Bombyx mori: one gene and its partner. The protein of the gene in region 2 interacts with the protein of the main gene of each other region in a pairwise test. Links are inferred from orthologs where the notes say so. Each region holds a gene or a part of one and is shown on either strand. Other genes may lie near its edges.

The links.
Region 1: the proteins of S-phase kinase-associated protein 2 (region 2) and cyclin-dependent kinase regulatory subunit interact in a two-hybrid assay, tested with the Drosophila melanogaster proteins (2 studies listed by BioGRID). The link is inferred for Bombyx mori from reciprocal best matches to the Drosophila melanogaster genes Skp2 and Cks85A.

What each region holds. Positions count from the first base shown.
Region 1 is NC_085113.1:13,345,506-13,356,003, forward strand, and holds cyclin-dependent kinase regulatory subunit, read left to right. Parts: upstream 1-3,747; 5' UTR 3,748-3,859; coding exon 3,860-3,918; intron 3,919-4,296; coding exon 4,297-4,519; 3' UTR 4,520-4,874; downstream 4,875-10,498. Other genes in the region: uncharacterized protein LOC101737863, read right to left, coding at 497-574; dystrophin, isoforms A/C/F/G/H, read right to left, coding at 9,930-10,042.
Region 2 is NC_085117.1:557,552-568,729, forward strand, and holds the end of S-phase kinase-associated protein 2, read right to left. Parts: intron 8,433-11,178; coding exon 8,295-8,432; intron 7,824-8,294; coding exon 7,667-7,823; intron 7,362-7,666; coding exon 7,232-7,361; intron 6,281-7,231; coding exon 6,109-6,280; intron 5,325-6,108; coding exon 5,234-5,324; intron 4,179-5,233; coding exon 4,054-4,178; intron 3,369-4,053; coding exon 3,209-3,368; intron 2,657-3,208; coding exon 2,537-2,656; intron 1,930-2,536; coding exon 1,863-1,929; 3' UTR 1,852-1,862; exon of another isoform or gene 1,756-1,851; intron 1,683-1,755; 3' UTR 291-1,682; coding exon of another isoform or gene 140-290; 3' UTR 137-139; downstream 1-136. Other genes in the region: partner of xrn-2 protein 1, read left to right, coding at 140-290.

The DNA of each region.
Region 1 (10,498 bases), on a different chromosome or scaffold from region 2:
GTTACAACGGCTGCCCCACCCTTCAAACCGAAACGCATTACTGCTTCACGGCAAAAATAGGCAGGGCGGTGGAATCTACCCGCGCGGCCTCACAAGAGGTCCTACTACCAGTAAGCTCGGTTGAGTTAGTAGATATTTGACTTATTTGTTCATTGTTGAATGATCAGAATATTAATTCGTTGATGTTTGGATCATAGGTACTCAACGTCCGTATTCAATCCAATTTGAGCGTCCCTCTTTTTATTTAGACGGTCACATTTAAATATCGGTACTGTTTATTGCCGGTTTTTTTTTGTTTTAAATATAACTTGAGTTTTGGATTCGTTTGCCAGTAAGGACTACAATACGTAGGTACCCATGTTGCTAATGCAAAAAATGGTGTACGCAATTCTGGCAAGCCTTCTTTTTTTGAAGCCTTTAGAAGGATTATAGCATGATTTTTAGTTATTTCTATTTTTTACAGCCAAAATAGCTCCGTTCCTCATAAAATACGCACCTCGAAAGAACGAAGAATGACATCAGGATATTCATCTTTGAGCAGAGCCTGGAGGAAGTCCAACGTGATCTCACTCATGTTTACAACCAGCAGATGCCGTGAGGACTAGATAACTGGACTGATGTGGATATAGCGTGCTACGATCTCCATTACAGATCATTGGTGACCATTCTTTGTATATAGCATTGGGATATTCCTACAGTTATAAATTTGTTTGTTCTATTCGAGTCTTATTTAATTTATATATATAAAATGTAGGCTCATTACGTTCGTAGTGGAAAAATATAATAAAATATATAATAAGCTTTTTATATTAATCTTGGCAACCCCGCCAGACATTGCCGATACCATCAGTGGTCATATTGAGTATATAGGATGCACATGAGCGCATACTCTCCTTTTTATGTTTATATTTATACTCACCTGGACATCAGCCTCAATATTCTAAGACGTATTTTTTTTTATGTTCTGTTAAACTGATTTTTGGTAATTATCTCACCAACAAAACGCCAATTAAGTAGTCTACATGATAATTAAGTGTAATGTTCAATGAATAATGTAATGTGTAACAATTGACTAGTGCCAAAAATTGATTTTTTATTTTTTTGTTTTTGTTTGGTGTTACATGATTACCGGATCCCATAGACATCTACAACGTAAATGCCGCCATCTACCTTGAGATATGAGCTCTAAGGTTTCAGTATAGTTACAACGGCTGCCCCTACCTTCAAACCGAAACGCATTGCTGCTTCACGGCAGAAACAGGCAGGGTACCTACCCGTGCGGACTCACAAGAGGTCCTACCATCAGTTAGTAAACTTAAAGTTTATAATAAATATGAAAGAATGGCTACTGCATACAGTCCCACGATCGAACATTCCTTATTGGGGTCTGGTGATTGAATAATGCGCCACAGTTTAACTATAGTTAAGCGCTCGGATATGCCTCGTACATCCCTTGCGTAAACTGTTTAACTAGAGGGGGAATTACGATCGTGAAATGATCAGTTTAAATGCATATGGAAGTGATGCAGAGCCATTTAAGATCTTTCAGATCGTGTCACAGATAAATGTTAGTTTAAACTGATTTGATTGCTAATTCAATTATCGTCTAATTAGGACTACACCGATACTATACCAATTAATTTCTTTCATAGTCGAACACAGTTTTGAATTTTACTTGCTAAATGTAAAACAGTTATAACATCAAAAAAGTATATTTTATCTTTTTACGCGTGTTCCTGGCCTTTATTTCAGTCTAATATATTTTATTGCCAAGATTGGTAGCCGGGCTCACGGTCCACAGGGTTTTAAATGGTTACAGAATCCCGCAGACATCAACCACGTAACTGCCGCCACCTACCATGAGACAAGAGTTTCTGGTCTCAGTTTTTACAGTAGGTACAAGAAGAGTTCGAGGTGTAACGTAGCCCGTAGATTCGCGTTTCTGATCCGGTGGTAGATTCAGCGAAGCCCTGCTCTTGCTACGGTTAGTGTTAGTTATTCTCTCTGGTTGAGCCCGTGAGCTCACCTACCGGTCCGTCAGTTGTTGAAATAGCCCCATAAGCTACCCAAAATTAGGCAGAGGAGAAAAATAAAACATAACCTCAGCGGGTCGCGATTCCAACTCGGTGGGACCAGTTATATTGAGGGACTGCAGTTATAGCTGTGTTTTATAACGTAACTTCAATCGCGAGTGCTTTGTTTGTGATTATTCCGTTGTCTTTTTATCGTCGCACCGCTTGTCACTGGAGTTCACCTATATCTACCACTTCGTTCGTCCCCACTCTACAGTGCATCTCTAAAAGTCTTTTTTGGTACCTACTCGCCATCTGATCTTTGGATTAACTTCCCTCTAAAATACTATCGTGCGATATGATATATCCTTCTTCAGATTAGGGTGGAGGAGATTTTTTATCAGTCCTCCTCTGTCGATAATCCTCATTGCTGAGAATTGTGGCTCGTCTTACAACTTTCTCCTGTATTATCCTGCGCCATTCCTGTCCTGCAACGTTTTTATCAGTAGGCAATGGCTGAGCTGTGCCTCTGGCATTGTGAATTTCCATGAGCGACGGTGACTCGCTATTGAGTCGTATTTGCTTACAAAGCAATTAAAAAACTCTCTTATGGATGTAGGAATTTGTTGAGAGTTCAAGGAATGCTTACAAAAAACCCTTGAATCCACGTCGCATTAATATTGTATTTTTCCCTTTTTGCACTTTCGCAGATGCTAATTAAAGCTAATGCCAAGATAGTTACGCGTAAGGAGCCGAAGAAATCCTAAAAACAGATTATAGGTCTACCAGGATCTGATGGCAAAAAGGGAAAAAAGAAATTGACGCTAGCAATATTGGGGAAATTAGAGTAATTGATAAAAAAAATTCTTATAGCGGCCGATTCTGTGTGATACATGCAAATATAAAAATTTATGCAATGATCAAAGATAATTTTTGAAAATCTTACTGTGGCGAATGTGGGGTTCGAAATTTAGACGAAAACTCCAATTACTCTGTTCATGAATTTAATAATTAATTATAAGCTATCAGAACTTGAAAATGGTTCCAAATACTGCACATCCATAAAAGTCTTAATCGGAAGAGAAAGACGAGGAAGGCGCAGTATTTTTGCCACCTTTCCTCTTTTTACCAGGGGTACTAAATACGCCTCAGTTGCCTTCAGCAACAATTCGTCTTATGGTAGTATTAGAAACACCTGAAATAAACCAAAGTTTAGTATACATAATTAATACACACGAAAAATGCAATAAACCAAAGTATCAAGACATGTCATTCCTACTAACCAGTCAACGCTTGCACATGGCTCAATGTGATCCAATGATTGTGATTGTTCTGCACCTTGTTCATCAAGTATTCTTTGATAAATATTGAAAACTATACTTGCGATCGAAGAGGTTTCTTCGACATTTTCACCACTTTTTAAAGGAAATTTGAAGCCAAACCAAAAACAATTCCTCGAAATTTCACTTTTTTCACAGATGGCATTTTTTTTTGCCATATGAAAATCGCTATTTTTTTCCCTTTTTTTGCCATCAGATTCTGGTAGACCTATAAATAATAATAATATTAATAACTTGACAATGAACGTTCGCCTGGAATTGTAAGAAAATCGTCATTTGAATTTATTGACAACTGACGTTTCTTTTGTGTAGTCTGTGTTTCATTCAAAGAGCACTGAGTAAACTTGAATAAAGTTCCGCTGAAAGATTCAATTGAACTTCAGCTGATATTGTATATTTCAATCGAAACGATTGAAATTCAAACCGTATGGTTAAAAAATTATTCTAACCCTTAGCGCTGTTGAAAATTATTAATTTTATTCGACGTACCTAATTAAAACTACAGTAATGCCCGTGGACCAGATTCAATATTCGGAAAGATATACAGATGACGTCTACGAATACAGGTAAAATATTTTGGTGAATTTCTTTCATGTCTCCTTAATTTAATGGTTAACAGCAACTAAAACACTACATATTTAGTTTGGATAAAACATTGTTTTGAAGAAATTAATTGAACGCCGTATCAGTTGTGTGTAAGTAAATAACATGTGACCGTCTCCTTGTAATCTGGGTGCAATCCTTTTTTAGTAAAATTAAAACGCTGACGTAAAAATTAAGCCGTTGTAAATGTGTAATTATCATAGTTACATTTGATAAATCTGGTTATTCATTATACAAGCGTCACCATCTGTTACGCCACCATCATGTCATAGTAGCCTCGTAATTGTGAAATAATTAATCCACGTTTGTATAAATTATGAAACCCCAAAAAATATTTCCAGGCATGTCATCTTACCACCGGATATAGCCCGCATGGTGCCAAAATCCCATCTTATGACAGAGACAGAGTGGCGAAACCTTGGTGTTCAGCAGAGTCCCGGCTGGCTCCACTTTATGGTGCATAATCCTGAACCCCATGTTCTATTATTTAGAAGACCTAGAACTGATATACCGGCTCCCTTGAATGGCTTAGATACAAATACTAGTTCTGCTGTGAAGGTTTGACTGTTTTTGTTGCATAGGCATATTTTTAGGTGTCATAGCTTAATATTATTTAAATTGCTTATTGAAACTATTATAGTTAAGACAAAACAAAAAAACTTTTCAATTTATTATAAATTAGCAGACATCAATTATTATTATATTACTTTATTTTGTCTCAGTCTAAATTCAAATCGGGGGTTTTAATAAAATTATTCATGACTTTGGATAACACAAAGGCTTGTTTGTGGATAATTCTCTGGAGGAGCTTGGATGAGGCTCATAAGCTCTACACAAAAAGACTAAAGTACATTGAGTTGTTACTTGTTTATTATTGAGAATAAATTTAACCATAGATAGAATTTTAACTTTGACCTCCTAATTAATATTAAGAAATACAAAACTGTGAAGTTAACATATTCATTAGATACCTGTTTATGAAAGAAATATTAACACTAAGTATGTGTTAGGTAATAATTACATTAAAAATGTACCAGTATATAATTTGCGAGTAGGCAATATAATCAGAACTCATTAAACTTTAACAAAAATGCTTGTATCAAATGTTGAATGAATGTAAAACTTAGCACATGCAACTACTAATACTTATAGCAGAATATATTATTTTTATGATAGAATAAAAAGTATTTACATGATTTTTAGTTAAAGAAGAAGATTTGTTTTTAAATAATGTTAAGAGAATACTTGTGTTACATTAAATATAAATTCTATGAAAATAATTACCATTCATCAGCATAGTGTTACTCGGTGTGACTATGTTTTCTGATAAATTATTGTAGACTACATCTAAGTAGTATAAGTTCTTTGTGAACTTAACGGCAACTTATCACATGGGTGGGTGCTCCAAAGTGAGTATGATTTTATTGAATGTAATTCTGTTCTAAAATATTATTCTGCATTAGCTATTACACATTCAGAGATGTAGTTACTAACTCTTGTATAAACCTTATGATTTAAAAACTGACAAAACGGAGGGTTTTTCTTGTTTATTCTGTCTTGTACCTTGAAATATTGACTAAAACAATCCTTCCTTAATATGCCTTATTTTATTTTTAAACATTTATTTTTCTAGTGGAAAATCAATATACTGAAAAATTGTAGTAATAGAAAACTGTTAATGTTAGTTCTGTTTTTACATTCAATGTTAAATAGTAGTAGTTCAAATGATCCCCAAAGAAATAAAACCAAATTTCAATTACCATAACACAAATAGTATTTTATAATGTTCACTTGATTTTTTCCACATAGAATTTACTTTTGTATTTTCATCCGGAACAATCCAAATCTTTCATTATTGTAGTAAATTCATAGTAAAAAAATTCTTCATCAATATTGATGCTGATAATTTTGAGGGCAAACAGTTATAGTTTCTTAGGCTAGTACCACTGTCTTTGTTTTAAATCGAAGACCGTGGTAGGTCCGGTAATATCAGCAGTAATTATTTAAAAAAATATTGTACAGAACATATTTTAATCCAAAACAGAATATATTATGCTGTGGTTTTCGTATCTCGATTTATGAAAAATGACTGAAAATTGCCTAAAAACGAATGTTTTTTGAGAAAATATTCCTCTACCTTTCAGTTGATTACGAAATTGGCTTGGCTGCAAACGCGAAACTAATTAATAATTTTTTCTTAGCATGATACAAAGACTGCAGGAGTCATAGATAGAACATCAAACAGTTATGTTTGAATCTGCGTCTGTTTCATCTAAGGTATTTTCTTTATCTTAAGATCGATGCCTCCTATGAACACTACGCTAACTCCAAATTCGTAGGTTTACAGGAGGAGTGTTTAAACGAAAAAAATTTATAAAATCTTTATTATTGCAGATATATTTATGGTTTACTCTTGCTTCGAACCCCATCAATAATAATTTGTAATACTTTTAAAATAGTGAAGCAATTTGCGTGAAAAACGAAAATTTTAAAATTTTGTGTTAGTGTTCCTTGGAGGCATCGCTTTAAGATAACTCGTGTACTTAAGGCGTACGTGTCCGTATAAATGATAGGAACAGTTATTGTTGTCTTCCTTATTCGAATACTGTGATTGTGCAACACACATACTGTTGTAAGCATCCGTGTTTACAAATAGTATTGGCTTCCTCACAATACAAACGCCATGATTACGGGCGGACGTGTACTGCGGGTAGGATTTAAATCTGTCTACCCTCTCTGTATTTCGTTCATTAAGCCTGTAAAAAAGTTAACTAAATTATTAAAATAAAAAAATGTTAAGTGTTTGTAACGTATTAATTTGCCTTAACAGCTAAATACAGCGTTATAGAAGAGAAATAAGTCTATATCTGAAACTAATTATTATCTACAGACCTTGTTATTGAAACACGATGTATTTTAGATTCAGTTACATAACGTTGCCTTTGCATTTTTAGTTTTCTCTTATTGATTACAAATGTAATTGTATATTGATTTAAGTTTTTATTAATGAATTAAGATGACAGCTGTTGAATAAATTATTAATAAATATGTACGTATTCTTATTTTTTTACCTATTCACGTCCGAGCATTTCAAAATTTTTCATTTTTTCGTTAGCAGCACGTGTCGTCAAACGTCTTTTACGTATCTACTACGGTTGATTGGTTTTGAAGACAGACAAGCTTACGGCTTCCCTGATCTTAAGAGGCTATCGTTAAGATGCTTATCGCTCATGGACATCAACAATATTTAAGTCGCTTATGTCGAAGAATTTCTAACCTCGTTTTCAGAAGGATATGTTATAGCCGTAAAGGGGAGTTTCTTATAGATCCGGGTGTCGGAACGCGCTGTGGACAATGGTTACTGCTGAGTATGGGTGGTGTAATCTGTTGCAGTGATGGACAGTCTTTTGTAGGAAGGATGGTGGAATCCTTTCGAACAATTTCTCAGCGCACTCGCGTGTGGAGCAATCAGGGAGAAGGAAGAGGGATTTATTTAAAAATTAAAACAAAACCTTTACTATGCTGAATGTTTATTTGGGATTTCATTTAACATCTAAAACATCATAAAACACAGTAAAATATAAAAATAAATGCGACAAGTAAAATTTATAGTCGTGGAAACTTTTTTTAATATTGAGAAACAGAAAGAAACCTACATCTAAATGATAATAGAATAAAATTATTAACAATATATTAGTTACTATATATATTTATTAGTAGTTCGCATAAAACAAAAAGTTTTTTTGAAAAATAAAATTGTATTCCCTTAAAATTAAAAAAAGCCGATAGTAAGTTGCCATTACGAAAAACGAATGTAGCGTGACGTCTCGAATGAAAACAACGATAATTTGATATGGATATCGGAAGTCCTTAATTATAAAGTTAGCTTTAACAGGTTTTCACTTAACATTCGTATAAAAGTCATCATTTCGAATATATCTTATCTAAAAAGGATAGGCAGCATCCTAGACACATGTACGCGTGGGATGGGATAATATCATCTCATCCCAAATATATCCTAAACGTGTCGGTGTGCCGTTTCATAGTGAAAAAGGTTGGATAGTATAATCTCTAAGAAGGGTCCTCTATTGTTCTACGATTATCTGGAGAATTAATATTCGATTACTACCAACTCGTTCAAGTGCCAGGCGTATAAAAGCACAGACACTTCGCAGAATGATTGAATTATGGAGTATTTATTCATTGTGATGGAAGCGGGTCAGCTAATTTGCAGATTTGCGTACCGGTTGGAAACTAGCAAGAGTTTAATATCAATGTCGGCTATGCTCTCACTGCTCATTAGCTGTAGGCATTGATTGATCTCCTGACGCAACTGTTGTTACGGTGGACTGAAAGTAGTTTTGCTTTTACGCTCCTCACAACAACACTTGAACGACGATAACTCCGGACGAGTCACTGCCTCCAACAATCATTACAATTTGCATCAAAGCGCACGATTAATATTTTGTTTTAATATCTAACAATAAATCGATAACATACACATGCACGTGGTTACATGTTTTAATTTATTTTTAATATTTATTATTGATAATCATACAATTCGCCTACGAACTACACTACTATAAACCTTCAACGAATCCGAACAGTTACAGCCGCAGAGACAGCTTCGACACGTGACAACCTTTGTGAAGTCCATCTTTAATTTTTTTAATACATTTTTTTTTCTCTAAAACTTAGGCCATTTCGGGTATCGCAACATCTGGCCGTTGTATAAATCATTACAGCTGTAAAGCTTACTAAATATTGTAGAAAAAGTGATACCACAGTACAAAGTTGCATCGATCTGGTAACATCGTTAAAAGCATTTTCGTAAAAATTTTCGTGATTTCGAAACACGCGCCTGTTATTTTCAATACATAGCAAAAATGATATGAGAGTATCCAAACAGTGATATGAATGTATTAATAAAGATTGTAAGTAGGTATAATACTAACAAGATATGTTCTTAAAATATTATTATTTTAGTACCAAAAACATTTCGGTACAATTTTTATTGTTAAAATATATAGAATATAATATATAAATGCTCGTTACATTGTCTTTTTCGTTGGATTGCTGTGTTCTGGCAGCACTGGCGCTAGCTTTAGGGGGGGACAACGAAAATAGTAGAAAATCTGAAAGAGTTGCCACGTCAAATAAAAAATAACAGAAATGGCGGATAGTTCGACTCAATCACGATACGTACTGCAACAATGGCGCGCCCTTATTTATACAATAAGCGTTGCATACGATTATCGTTAATATTTAAAAAAAACAAACAACTGCTGTGAACTAATTTGATTTGGTACATGTTCCATTGAAATTTAACTTTTAATTTTACGGCAGATGATACAAGACACTGATGGGACTACGCAATTTAAAGTTTGTGGTATTTTCAGAAAATATCAAATAGTGATTCATTATAAAAATGTAATCTTAATACGTTTGTTTTCAGTTTTAATTTCCGTAATGCAGTTAAAGAGGCGCACTCTCTATATCCCTTAATTGTTATTAATGTCCTAACTTCTTACGGTATGGTTTTCTTAGTTTAATCAGGAGACTGCCATTTTATGGATTGTATTGTACCAAATCAAGATAAAATCTCGTATTAGTTCCACATAGCTGTCAACTTACAGGCTTCTACTTTTTTGTGATCCCCTGGAAGCCATAAAGCTCAGGTTAGGAAACGCGTGGAATGTTTTATAAAAAGCTTTTGTATAAAAGTTAAGGACAGTCAATGTACAGTGCAATTTGTTAGTGATGAGTCGAAAATTAGTAATCATTAAAAGAAATTGTGACCAACAAGAAATTAATTAAAACGGTATCTCTATAAAGCAACACCATTGTAGAATAAATCTTTGGTTATGCTCAGTGTTGCCAGAACGTTGGGCGCGGTAGTTTGATTGCTTCGAATATAGCAACATTATATTGAAAGCACCGTGCGCGCGTAAGGTTCGCGTCGTTTTCGAGCCGTTCATTCGTTGTTTGCCGGTTTCCCGTTCGTGTACTGCGGTGGCGCGTTGCTCGGCGTGCCGGAGTCCTCGGACATCACCGAGACGAGCTCTTCTACGGCACGGCCCAAGTCATCTGAAAAAGTGTAAACAAATTTAAGCATTATTATGAACAAATTACGAATTATTTTCCCAACTTTTTGGCTGTACTTTTCGTTATGTACAGAATTCCGATGCCTTGTCTTCAGAATCTTGCGTTTTTTTTTGTTGCCTTGTAGGCAGACGAGCATACGGCCCACCTGGTGGTGAGTGGTTACCGTCACCCATGGACTTCAACAATGCCAGGGGCAGAGCCATGCCGCTGCGTTTCATTAAGAAGCTAATTTTCAATGCTAGAATCCATAATAACATTTTAAGATTATGTACTTAATAACTCGCTCAATAAGCTGTATTTTATATTGCGTATAATATACTAAAATTAGTGATCGCAGTTTCGAATAAATCAGCTGCGACACAGACAGAACATTTTTCAAACATTTTAAATCGTAACTAAGTCAGCCTTAGGGTTTGGAGTTCCATATCGGTTATAGAT
Region 2 (11,178 bases):
AGGTAGGATGATGGTGTCTATGTGTGGGCTTATAAGATACCCTACCATCATATTTTAGTTTTTTTTTCATAATCTATATAAAATAAATAAAAAGTTTAACCTGATTGCTCCCACATACTAATCAACATATGTTTTCCAGATATCCACCTCAAACAATGAAACGCATTTCGGTATTGGCCGAGAAAGTGTCCGCCAAGTACAAGGAGAGCAGAAAGAATAAGTTGAAACGAACTTTCGTGCAAGCCAGCGATGCGGCCGAGCAAAAAGCTAAACGTACCTTCAAGAAATAGTATTAACTGTACAAATACTTGTAACTATACTTGAGACCTTAGAACTTATTATTATCTCAAGGTGGGTGGCGCATTTACATCGTAGATGTCTATGGGCGCCAGTAACCACTTAACACAAATAAATGTTTGGGTCTATATGTGTTCGTTATTTATCTAATTGTGCAAAGTTTACTGCAACAGTTATCATTAAAATTGCTTTCATGGTTTATTCTCAAATTTATTTCGTATTGTTACACGGGTTCTGGTTAATAAAAATTCTGCCGAAGTACAAATTAAAACTCTATTTAACTTAGAAAACTCACAGAACAGTTTACAATTCGTAATTCGCTTTTTCCGCTTTGCTCCAAATCGCATATTATAATTTGCGTAATTATTGGTGGTAAGACCTCTTATGAGTCCGCACGGGTAGGTACCACCACCCTGCCTACTTCTACCGTGAAGCAGTAATGCGTTTTGTTTTGAAGGGTGGGGCAGCCGTTGTAAAAGAAAAACCTTAGAGCTCATATCTCAAGGTGGGTGGCGCATTTACGTCGTAGATGTCCTATGGGCGCCAGTAACCAATTAACACCAGGAGGGCTGAGAGCTCGGTCAACCATATACGCAAAAAAAAATGCAGTCCTTAAAACCTAAAGCTTAATTCTATATCTTAAAACCAAAATAAATAATACCACCCAGAAATATATTTTTTATTGGCTTTGTAGGCAGCCGAGCATACGTCCCACCCGATGATGAGTGGTTACCGTCGCACATGGGCATCATCAATGCCAGGAGCAGAGCCTAGCCCAGCAGAGCATACCATTAAAATGCCATAAAATGCATTATGCAAAATAAAAATTTGCTGTCGCAGTATGCCATTCTCTGATACGTTTCTTACTTTGGTGATACTCATAGGAAGAGAAGGTTTAACTATTCCACGCCATTGTATCAATGTCAATGTGTGTTATGGCTTGATAATCAACTGGATAGGACCCAGTAAGTCATATTGTAATAGGATAGTTTTATATCAAGATTTTTCTGGGCCGCTCTGCTGTAGCCGCTGGTAGATTACTCAGTAAGCTGCACTTTCAATTTTAATCTACTATAGCTGTGTTATATCCATTATTATTATTATTATTATTATATACATATTATCCACAATCTGCCTACAAAGAATATTGCGGTATTTTGGTCATGTTGCACATAGGGATACCAGCAATTTGGAACGCCTTGTGGTGACCGGTAAAATAGAGGGAAAAAGGCCTAGGGGTAGAGGTCCCAAACGATGGTCGGACCAAATAGCGGAGGAACTGGGGATACCTATCAGCGACGCACTCCACCGGGCTGCAGGGCGGGATCGATGGAGACAGTTGGTTGACGAAATCGGACGGAGTCACGATCCTCAGCAGTGAGGGACTGATCGAAGAGAGAGAGAGATAGCTGTGTTTACTTTAGTCGCTAAAGTGTTTATAAATAAAAGACACAAGAATGAAATCACAACATAATATAATAAAGATGTATTTAATTCGATCACATTTGTATAATGTAAGGTTTTCTATAACTTAAATAAAAATAAAATACATACATAAAATATACTCAGTCTCTGGTTCTTAATCCCCACACTGAAGAGCGGCGCGTGCCGACCGTGGGCCTCGCTATGGCGCTGAGAACGGAAACAATAACGATCTAAAGATATATTTTTTAAGAAAAATGTTATTATGTTTTTTTCAATGGATTTTATGACCTGGCAACTAAGACCTTTAGGTTTATGAAAAATGATGGAGTAAAATGAAATGAAATGAGAGTGATTAATTTGAGACATTAATCAACTGGGATAAAATATAATCTCAGTAAAATGGTGGTCGTTTACTGAGACTTTTTCAGTGGAGGATCCCGAGAAGTTACGTCCAGTGGTTTTGTTTAATTTTCCCACGTTTGTGCACTCTCAAGCCTTGTTCGGACTAGGCGAGCATTTTAGTCGAGTACCGAGTAATTTAGTAGCTAAATGTGTCTGAGCACCAAAAATTTAGTCGAGAAGGTTAGTAAATAATTTAGTCAAGTCAATCCATTTTGTTCTATTTTTTCGGGCGAGTAGTTTAGCCACTAAATTACTCGGCGCTCGACTAAACTAATCGCCTAATCCGAACAAGGCTTCATAGATACTAAACAGTTAATAAACCACCGTTATTACACGTTATTACAACTTTGAAAAACACTAAATCAACGGATTTCAGTCACTAAGGAAACTTGGGTTTTTCTTTAATAAATACCTGAACATGAAGTGGTTGATCTGGATCGATGGTAGATTGGCTTTTAATAAACTAAGATTTGGAGCTTGCAGCATCCCCCAAACTTCTAGGTATCGCAGAGAAGGCATCGCTGACAATTTACTGCAACAATGTTAGTTTACGAATAAATCTAGAGTTTACTTGAACATAGTATTGAGGAGTGAAAGGATATTTGGTTTAAGCGACATTTAACTTGGTAATTAAAGGTGCAAAATCTATTGTTTGGTGTTATCATCACGGTTAGACCGTATTCGAGGAATTACACCCGCTAAAAACGACGACTAAAAATATTTTTAGTATGTTGGAGACAGTCATTAGTTTGGTAGCTAAAGGAAACGCAGCACGATTCCCGAGAGATGGCAGCGCCGTCGGAACTCGGCTAACCTCGTGCTACGACAGAGCCTAGCCGATGGAGGCGAGTGGACGCCATCACACTTACCAACCAGCATTCTTGAAGAGCGGCGCCTCCGTCCTAAGAACTGTCATTCGTTTTCGTTTGCTAACGTCAAAAGAAGATTTCTAGATTGTTCTAAGATAACAAACGTGATTGGTGTACTCAATATTTCTCTTAGCTCGGTCACCCTATTCGCCCCTACGATGTCTGACGATGGTGTTAATAGTTGTGGCCTCTCCGACATATGTATGGACACTTACGAAAGCGTATGTCCGGAGAGCATGTAGCAGCGACTGAGGGCCGCGTGCTCGAGCCTGCCCAGGGTCACCAGACTCTGCAGCGCGCGGGGGGTCAGCCGCGAGCAGTCCGACAGGTCCAGCTCGGCCAGGCGCGGGCAGCGCGCGCACAGCCGCTCCGTCACTGGGGAACACAGAATATAGAGTGAAAACGCTTATTCCATATTACTTACAGGATCGAAAACTTCTTAGAAATTATTTTGATGAGTTTCATAGACAAGTTTGAAGTCGTCGTGGCCTAAAAGATAAGAGGAATTATTTGAGACGATTCCATCATCTCGTATTTATCATCGCACCACCCGCCATCGGAGCTGAGGTCATCCATACTACCTGAAGCCACTGCGTCCTTATCTTTCTTCAAACGAAGCTTGTGGAGAGTACTTAACGGTAGGCAGCGGCTTGGCTCTGCCTATGCTGAAGTCCATGGGCAACGGTAACTATTCACCATCAGGTGGGCCGTATACTCGTCTGCCTACAAGGGCAATGAAAAAAAAACGTCCGGTGCATTCGTATGTTTTTTCCCTACCTATTCTGGTAAGCTCGAAGATACTTAGATGGGTGGACGAGCCCACGGCCCAACTGGTGTTGAGTGGTTTTCGGAGCCCATAGACATCTACAACGTAAATGCGCCACACACCTTGAGATATAAGCTCTAAGGTCTCAGTATAGTTACAACGGCTGCCTCACCCTTCAAACCGAAACGCATTACTGCTTCACGGCAGAAATGGAGGGCGGTGGTACCTACCCGCGCGGACTCACAAGACTTCCTACCACCAGTAAAGGTTCTCCGGATCATATTAATTGCTTACACTCATCAGTCATAATCCTGGCTCCGCCGAGGTTGAGCCGCTGCAGCCGGCGCGGCAACATGTCCACCAGCACCTGGAGAGCCGCCTCGCTCAGATTGCACCACGATATATTCAAGGACTGTAGGCTGAAAATTCCAAGGGGGTCTCGTCATGAATTTTCCAAACAGATACATAATATTGTAACGCCGGTAAGAATAACGCCATCTATCGCCGAATAGTCGAATGAGTATAAAAATACGTACAATGCCATCTATTGTCAAATAGCGGAAACACAATACCCGAAATGCGTGGAATATTCTGGAAAATTCTAGGGATGCGGTATCGGCTATAAAAGCGTTGCAGAGACGGCACGCAGTCAGTCAGTAATCGGAACTACTCGAAGCGAAACAGAGAACGGATCACCCGAAGGGAAGCGGAAGAAGAAGTGTTCTGTGAGTGTTTTAAGTGATAAATAGTTTTAAGTTGTACTTCGGTGGACCATTTATTCATCCCGAACCCCAGCGCTTCACAATATAATTTGTATACATATTACTAATGTGAAAATGTTTTAGGATTTTTTTTTATTTTTTTATATTTTTTTTATTGCTTAGATGGATGGACGAGCTCACAGCCCACCTGATGTTAAGTGGTTACTGGAGCCCATAGACATCTACAACGTAAATGCGCCACCCACTCGAGATATAAGTTCTAAGGTCTCAGTATAGTTACGACGGCTACCCCACCCTTCGAACCGAAATGCATTACTGCTTCACGGCGGAAATAGGCGGGGTGGTGGTACCTACCCGTGCGGACTCCCAAGAGGTCCTACCACCAGTAATAATTTGCAATCAAAGTTTCCTGTTACGTTCCATAAAATATAAAATTAGTTAAAAGATAATTTAGTTTTAATGGCATAGATGAATGAATCAGCTCATGATTCAAATTACCTAAAAAGTTATCAGAGCCCGTAGGCATCAGCACATCGTGAGTGGACCTGCAGATGCCATCTTGAGACATGAGCTCGGAGTGCCACCCTTCAAACCGAAACGGATTACTGCTTCACAGCAGAAACAGGCGGGGTGGTGGCAGCTACTGCTCTCACAAGACCTTCCACCACTAGTGATTAAATACTAGACAAGGTATTTTTGGCTAGGATAAGGACTAATAGACCGATCTATTAATGTAAGCAAATAAAACTCACTTCACACATCCCTCAAGTAACGCTCTCGACCCTTCTGCGGTAATCCCTTGTGCCATTGTCATGTTTAATGTCTCCAAATTTGTACATCTACCTGAAAACACAATTACATAACTTGTTATTACAGCTGTAGACCGCGGACATCACCCAGCAAATTGTTTAATTGTTTAATGTATATTGTAAGTGAAATTATTTTATTTATATTATTTTATTTTATACAGTAAGCTGTCTTAAGATATTCTACCGTAGTTTTGAGAAAAGTAATTTCCGTGCAAATTACCCGTGGTTAATCACAAGACGTCCTACCATACTATACTGTTACGCCGGTAATAGTAACGCCATCTATCGCCGAATAGTCAAACGGATATCGAAGGACCTAGAACGCTCGAGAAGTACAACGCCATCTATTGTCACCTAGCGGGAACTACAACTACTAGAGATGTGTGGAATATTCTTGATAATTGTAGGGATGTGGTATCGGCTATAAAAGCGTTGCAGAGACGGCACGCAGTCAGTCAATAATCGGAACTACTCGAAGCGAAACAGCGAACGGATCACCTGAAGCGAAGCGGAAGAAGCGAATTGAGAGTTCTAAGTGTTGAATACAGTTTTTCAAGTTGTCCTTTGGTGAAATTTTATTTATCCCGAACCCTCAGCACGTAACAATACTATACGCTGTAGAGATATACGACAAAGGGAAGATCTTCCGCCGAGCGGGTGATATTTGCTTGGTAGACCGACGGTCCGAATATTGCTGTTCGGAACTTGTATATATGCGAGCTTATCTTGAAAATGTCGTAAGCGAGATTCAGGCATCTGTCAAATATCTTGTGTTCTTACCGCTACATACGCACAGGACCAATCCAGGAGCCACTCACCCAGGATAGCGCAGGTAGTGTCAGCAACGTTCACACTCTCCAAGCTCAACTTCTTCAAGCCGGGACAGTTCTCCAGCAGCCGGTCCAAAGTCTCCAGCTGTATCGAGCACATGCTCAGGTCTAAATATTGGACGCGGGACGGCGCTGTTGACCCCGAGCACCACGAACCGATCTGAAATAAAAAGTTTTATTTATTTATTGCCGTATAGGGCAAACGAGCATACGGCCCACCTGATGGTGAGCGGTTACCATGAAGTGTGTATACTTATATATTATAGCATAGCATAGCATATCATTTGGTATATAACATAATTAATAGGTGTAATCTCGTATGTCCCCCTAATAAGGCGGACCACCCAGAAACATAGGCTTCTTCATAATTGTAAACTAGGATTAAGATGATAATTAAACATGGAATACACGCAAGAAGACGTTTTTCTTTAACACCTCCAAATGTACAACATTACAATCGTCGCCCATGGACTTAAGCAATACCAGGGGCAGAGCCAAGCCGCTGCCGCGGGGGCACGAGTAGCGCCATCTGTCGTCAAATAGCAGAAACGACTGGTGCTATCGGGAATGTTCTCGATATTTGTAAACTTGTCGTGTGGAGTGTCCGAGCTGTACTGTACTGTAAAATAGAGTTTTTTGTGTTCTCCAGTTGGAGCACCGGGTAATGAATACTCCAGAGGATCCTAAGGATCCAGAGGGTCCAAGTTCGAAGGGGAATGGCGGCGAGTAGCGGGCGAAGCGCGGACGTACACTCGTGTGTCCACTTCGACGGTTGTGCGTGAACTCATAGATAATACACACAAATTAGTTACATATTAGATAAGCAACTCGAACACTCAACAAAAATGTTTACGGGCATCGGCCACTAGATGGCTTCGCTTCGATTAGTTTCTCATTGCTCCTGTAGATGGCAGTAACATATTTATTACCTATCCTATCCTATATTTTATTTTAGTGAAGGATTTTGTAAATTTTCAGAAACCACAAATTGATAAAATTTAATCAATTTGTCTATAGCAGATAAAGACTTGTATGATTTATTATTTTTTTATTTTCCGTGTTTAGTTGTAAATGATAATAATTTAATGAAGAACGATTAGAGGCAGCTCACCTCCGAGCTGGCCAGTCTGACTATGACCGGCTTCCTGTCCAGGATCTTCCCCAGGGCGTCTCTAGCTATCGCCTTGTTGCCGAGGTCCAGCCGCTGCCACAGCGTCTCGTCCGAAGCTATTCGGTACCACCTGGGACCGAACACACGTACCCACGTTATAGTGAATCGATAACCGACTGCACGTTGGAGGTGTTACTGATGTTCTAATTGTCACATGTCTACTTTAGTAATATTAGTTTTATTTTTCCAACTGGAAAGGCAAAGGTATCATCGTACCATACAGCCTAATCTTTTTTTGATGACACGTATGATATTAGTACGGATGTCCGTCGTAATTATAACCAGCTCACTCACTAGCCCACTCACAAACCAAGCCGTACTGAGTTGTTACTGAGACTGATAGGTCCGAACTCAGAGAGAATTCAAGTGAATTACCTCTTACAGACGAGCATGCAGTGCGCGAGCGTGCGCTTGGGCAGCCAGCGGAACACGCTCAGGATCATCTCGTCCGAGAGCACCGAGAAGGAGTCCGCGCCGCAGCGGCGGGGGGCGGCGCCCCGGGGCTGCGCCGGCCTCCGCGCGGGGGACGACGCTGCGGACAAAGTCACCGAGTTGATATGTGTGGCAGGTAGCCATTATACAACAACGCAATATTTTTGACAAATGCCTGAATCTCGCTTACGACATTTTCAAGATAAGCTTGCATATATACAAGTTCCGAAGAATAACATTCGGACCGTCGGTCTACCGAGAAATATCACCCGCTCAGAGGAAGATCTTCCCTTTGTCTTATACCTTACTTTAGATCCTCTTTCTTCGTCACAACTTAATCTAAACGCAAGGACATGGGTTAAGTTTCAGTTTTACAGTGCATAAGCTTCGCAGAAATAGACAGGGTGGTGGTACTTACTGGTGCAGATTCGCAAGACACCCTCTCGCCGGTATATTTAATGAAGTTAACAACATGAAATACCCTTGTAGACCAGACCGGGCCCCAACTATCTCCCTATCAGCAAGCCCCAGCCCCATGGATAATATGAATGCTTGGACAAAGTCAACTAACGTGTCCTGACTGGGCTGGGATGCGCCCGCTGCTCCCTGGGCACGTAGGCGCTGATGCACTGCGCCAGCGGGGTCTCCTCGTCAAACGCGATCCCTTCCACTAGAGTCGTCTCACAGTCCGTCTGCTGCAGCGGTTTGCCTGCAAAACATCAATGGAGTTTGAATTTACTTTAAGACTGCTTCTTAAGCAAAACTAGTGACCTCATATACATATACACATTTTACTGGTGGTAGGACCTCTTTTGAGTCCGAGCGGGTAGGTACCAGCGCCCTGCCTATTTCTGCCGTGCAGCAGTAATGCGTTTCGGTCTGAAGGGAAGAGCGGCCGCTGTAACTATACTGAGATCCTAGAATTTATATCTCAAGGTGGGTGGCGGTAACTACGTTGTAGATGTCTGTGGGCTCCAGCAACCACTTAACACCAGACGGGCTGTGAGCTCGTCCACCCATCTATACAATAAAAATAAAACGTGCCCGCGCTAAGACACATGCATACAGGTCTACACCTAATACATGTAATCGAACTGTCGATATTTCGATGTTCGGCACTTTATACGCGTTAATAGAGGGTCGATATACCGACGGTAAGCGCTTTAACGGTTAAACCGTAAATTTACTTTAATTAGTATTTGTTGAATGGATGTTCCGTCAAAGTGAGTATAACTCCGGTACCGGTCAGTGACCCCGCGCCCCACTGAAGCCGCTCGGTCATTGACCCCGCGGCTCTACATTTTATTTATTGTATTACTAATGAAACCCAGTCCACTGTGACTATAACTGATATATGAAGACATATCTTTTTTTTTTTATTGCCTTTGTAGGCAGACGAGCATACGGCCCACCTGATGGTAAGTGGTCACCGTCGCTCATGGACGTCAGCAATGCCAGGGGCAGAGCTAAGCCGCTGCCTATCTTAAGCTTACTCGCGCGCCACCTGTCGTGGCTACGAGAATATCACTGACTGGGTGCTGCAGTGATTAGGATAGATCGGTGTAAACCTGTGTGGAACAGCGCCCCTAGCGGAAAACGTTCCAACTCCATACAAAATTGAGTTAACTTTTACGTTATCACCATAACCACTTAGCACCAGGTGGGCTGTGAGCTCGTCTACCCATCTAAGCAGTAAAAAAAATATATGCCGTATTGGGAGAGGCCTACGTCCAGCAGTGGACAACAATGGGCTAATGATGATGATGACGATGATTTTTGTAAAATTTTTAAGTTATTTTTTTTTTGATAAGGTATATTATATTGTTAGGTGAAGAAAGTAATGCATGAAAGAGGAGTGCACGCGGTAGAGATGCGAACGTTGAGATGGATGTGTGGAGTGGACAAGAATGGACAAGATAAGGAATGAGTATAGCAGAGGAAGTGTGATAGTAGCCCCGGTAATCAACAAATCAAAGAGCGGACGGTTAGCGTGGTATGGACATGTGCTGCGTAACGACGAAACTCACGCATGTGACTAGAAGATGTATGGAAATGGTAGTGCAAGGTAGAGGGGGAAGAGGACAACCGAAGAAGACATGGATGGAGTGTGTGAATGACGAGATGAGAGAGAGGAGTGAGTGTTGAAATGACGGTTGATAGAAGAGACTGGAAGAGAAAAATTAGCTGTGCCGACCCCAACTAGTGGGATAAGTTGGAGAAAAAGAAGGTACATTCTCTTTTTTTTAAATATGTGAATATAAACTCAGCGCTAAAAAGTTTAATTTCAGGTTTGTTACTGACAGTACATGTGATGTTACAAGCACTATACAGTTTTATTCTTCGGGGAATGATATTAATTAAAACCAAAATGCTTACTAGGAAATAATTAGAACATACATATGCATAATTTTAATAGAATAGTGTTATTACATGGTTGACTTGGTGGTGCAGTAAGTTAGAACGCCTGACTGTTTTCGTGGAGAATCATGTGTTTGATTACCACATTGGGCAAACATACTTGTAATAAACAATTTTGTTTGGTGTTTGTCAGGGTGTTTATTATCTATATATGTATATTTAAAAGTATGTCAGTCCTGTAATACAGGGAATCCTAAATTGGGGCTGGATGATAGTGCATGATTTGTTCTCAATTTCTATCCTATTATTAATATCAGGCATGCAAATAGATAGACTGATAGAGATACAGTTATCAATACTAGTACTTAGACTAGATCCTCTTTAAGCAGGATGGAAAGTATTCGTACTGTTATATCCCTAGCCTGTATAGACTAATGCTTACCAAACACCTTACTCATCATAAGCTCTCTCACAGTGATTTCATGAGAACATACCAGGCTCAGTTCGGGTCAGATATTCATTGAAGTGAGACGTTTACCAATTTTCCTCACTATTTCTAAATTCTTTTATTATAATTAATTATTCATTAAAAATATTGTGTAGTTTCGAATAAATCCTTTTTTTTTAAAAAGTTCGGCCTTCTCACTACTAACAGTACCCTGGACCATAGTCGTCGTTGAAGTCGTCGTGGCCTAACGGATAAGACGTCCGGTGCATTCGTGTTGAACGATGCATCGGTGTTCGAATCCCGCAGGAGGGTACCAATTGTTGTAATGAAATACGTACTGGACAAATGTTCACGATTGACTTCCACGGTGAAGGAATAACATCGTGTAATAAAAATCAAACCAGCAAAATTACAATTTGCGTAATTACTAGTGATAGGGCCTCTTGTGAGTCCACGCGGATAGGTATCACCACCCTGCCTATTTCTGCCGTGAAGCAGTAATGCGTTCCGGTTTGAAGGGCGGGACAGCCGTTGTAACTATACTGAGACCATAGAATTGATATCTCAAGGTGGGTGGCGCATTTACGTCGTAGATGTCTATGGGCTCCATTAACCACTTAATACCAGGTGGGCTGTGAGCTAGTCCACC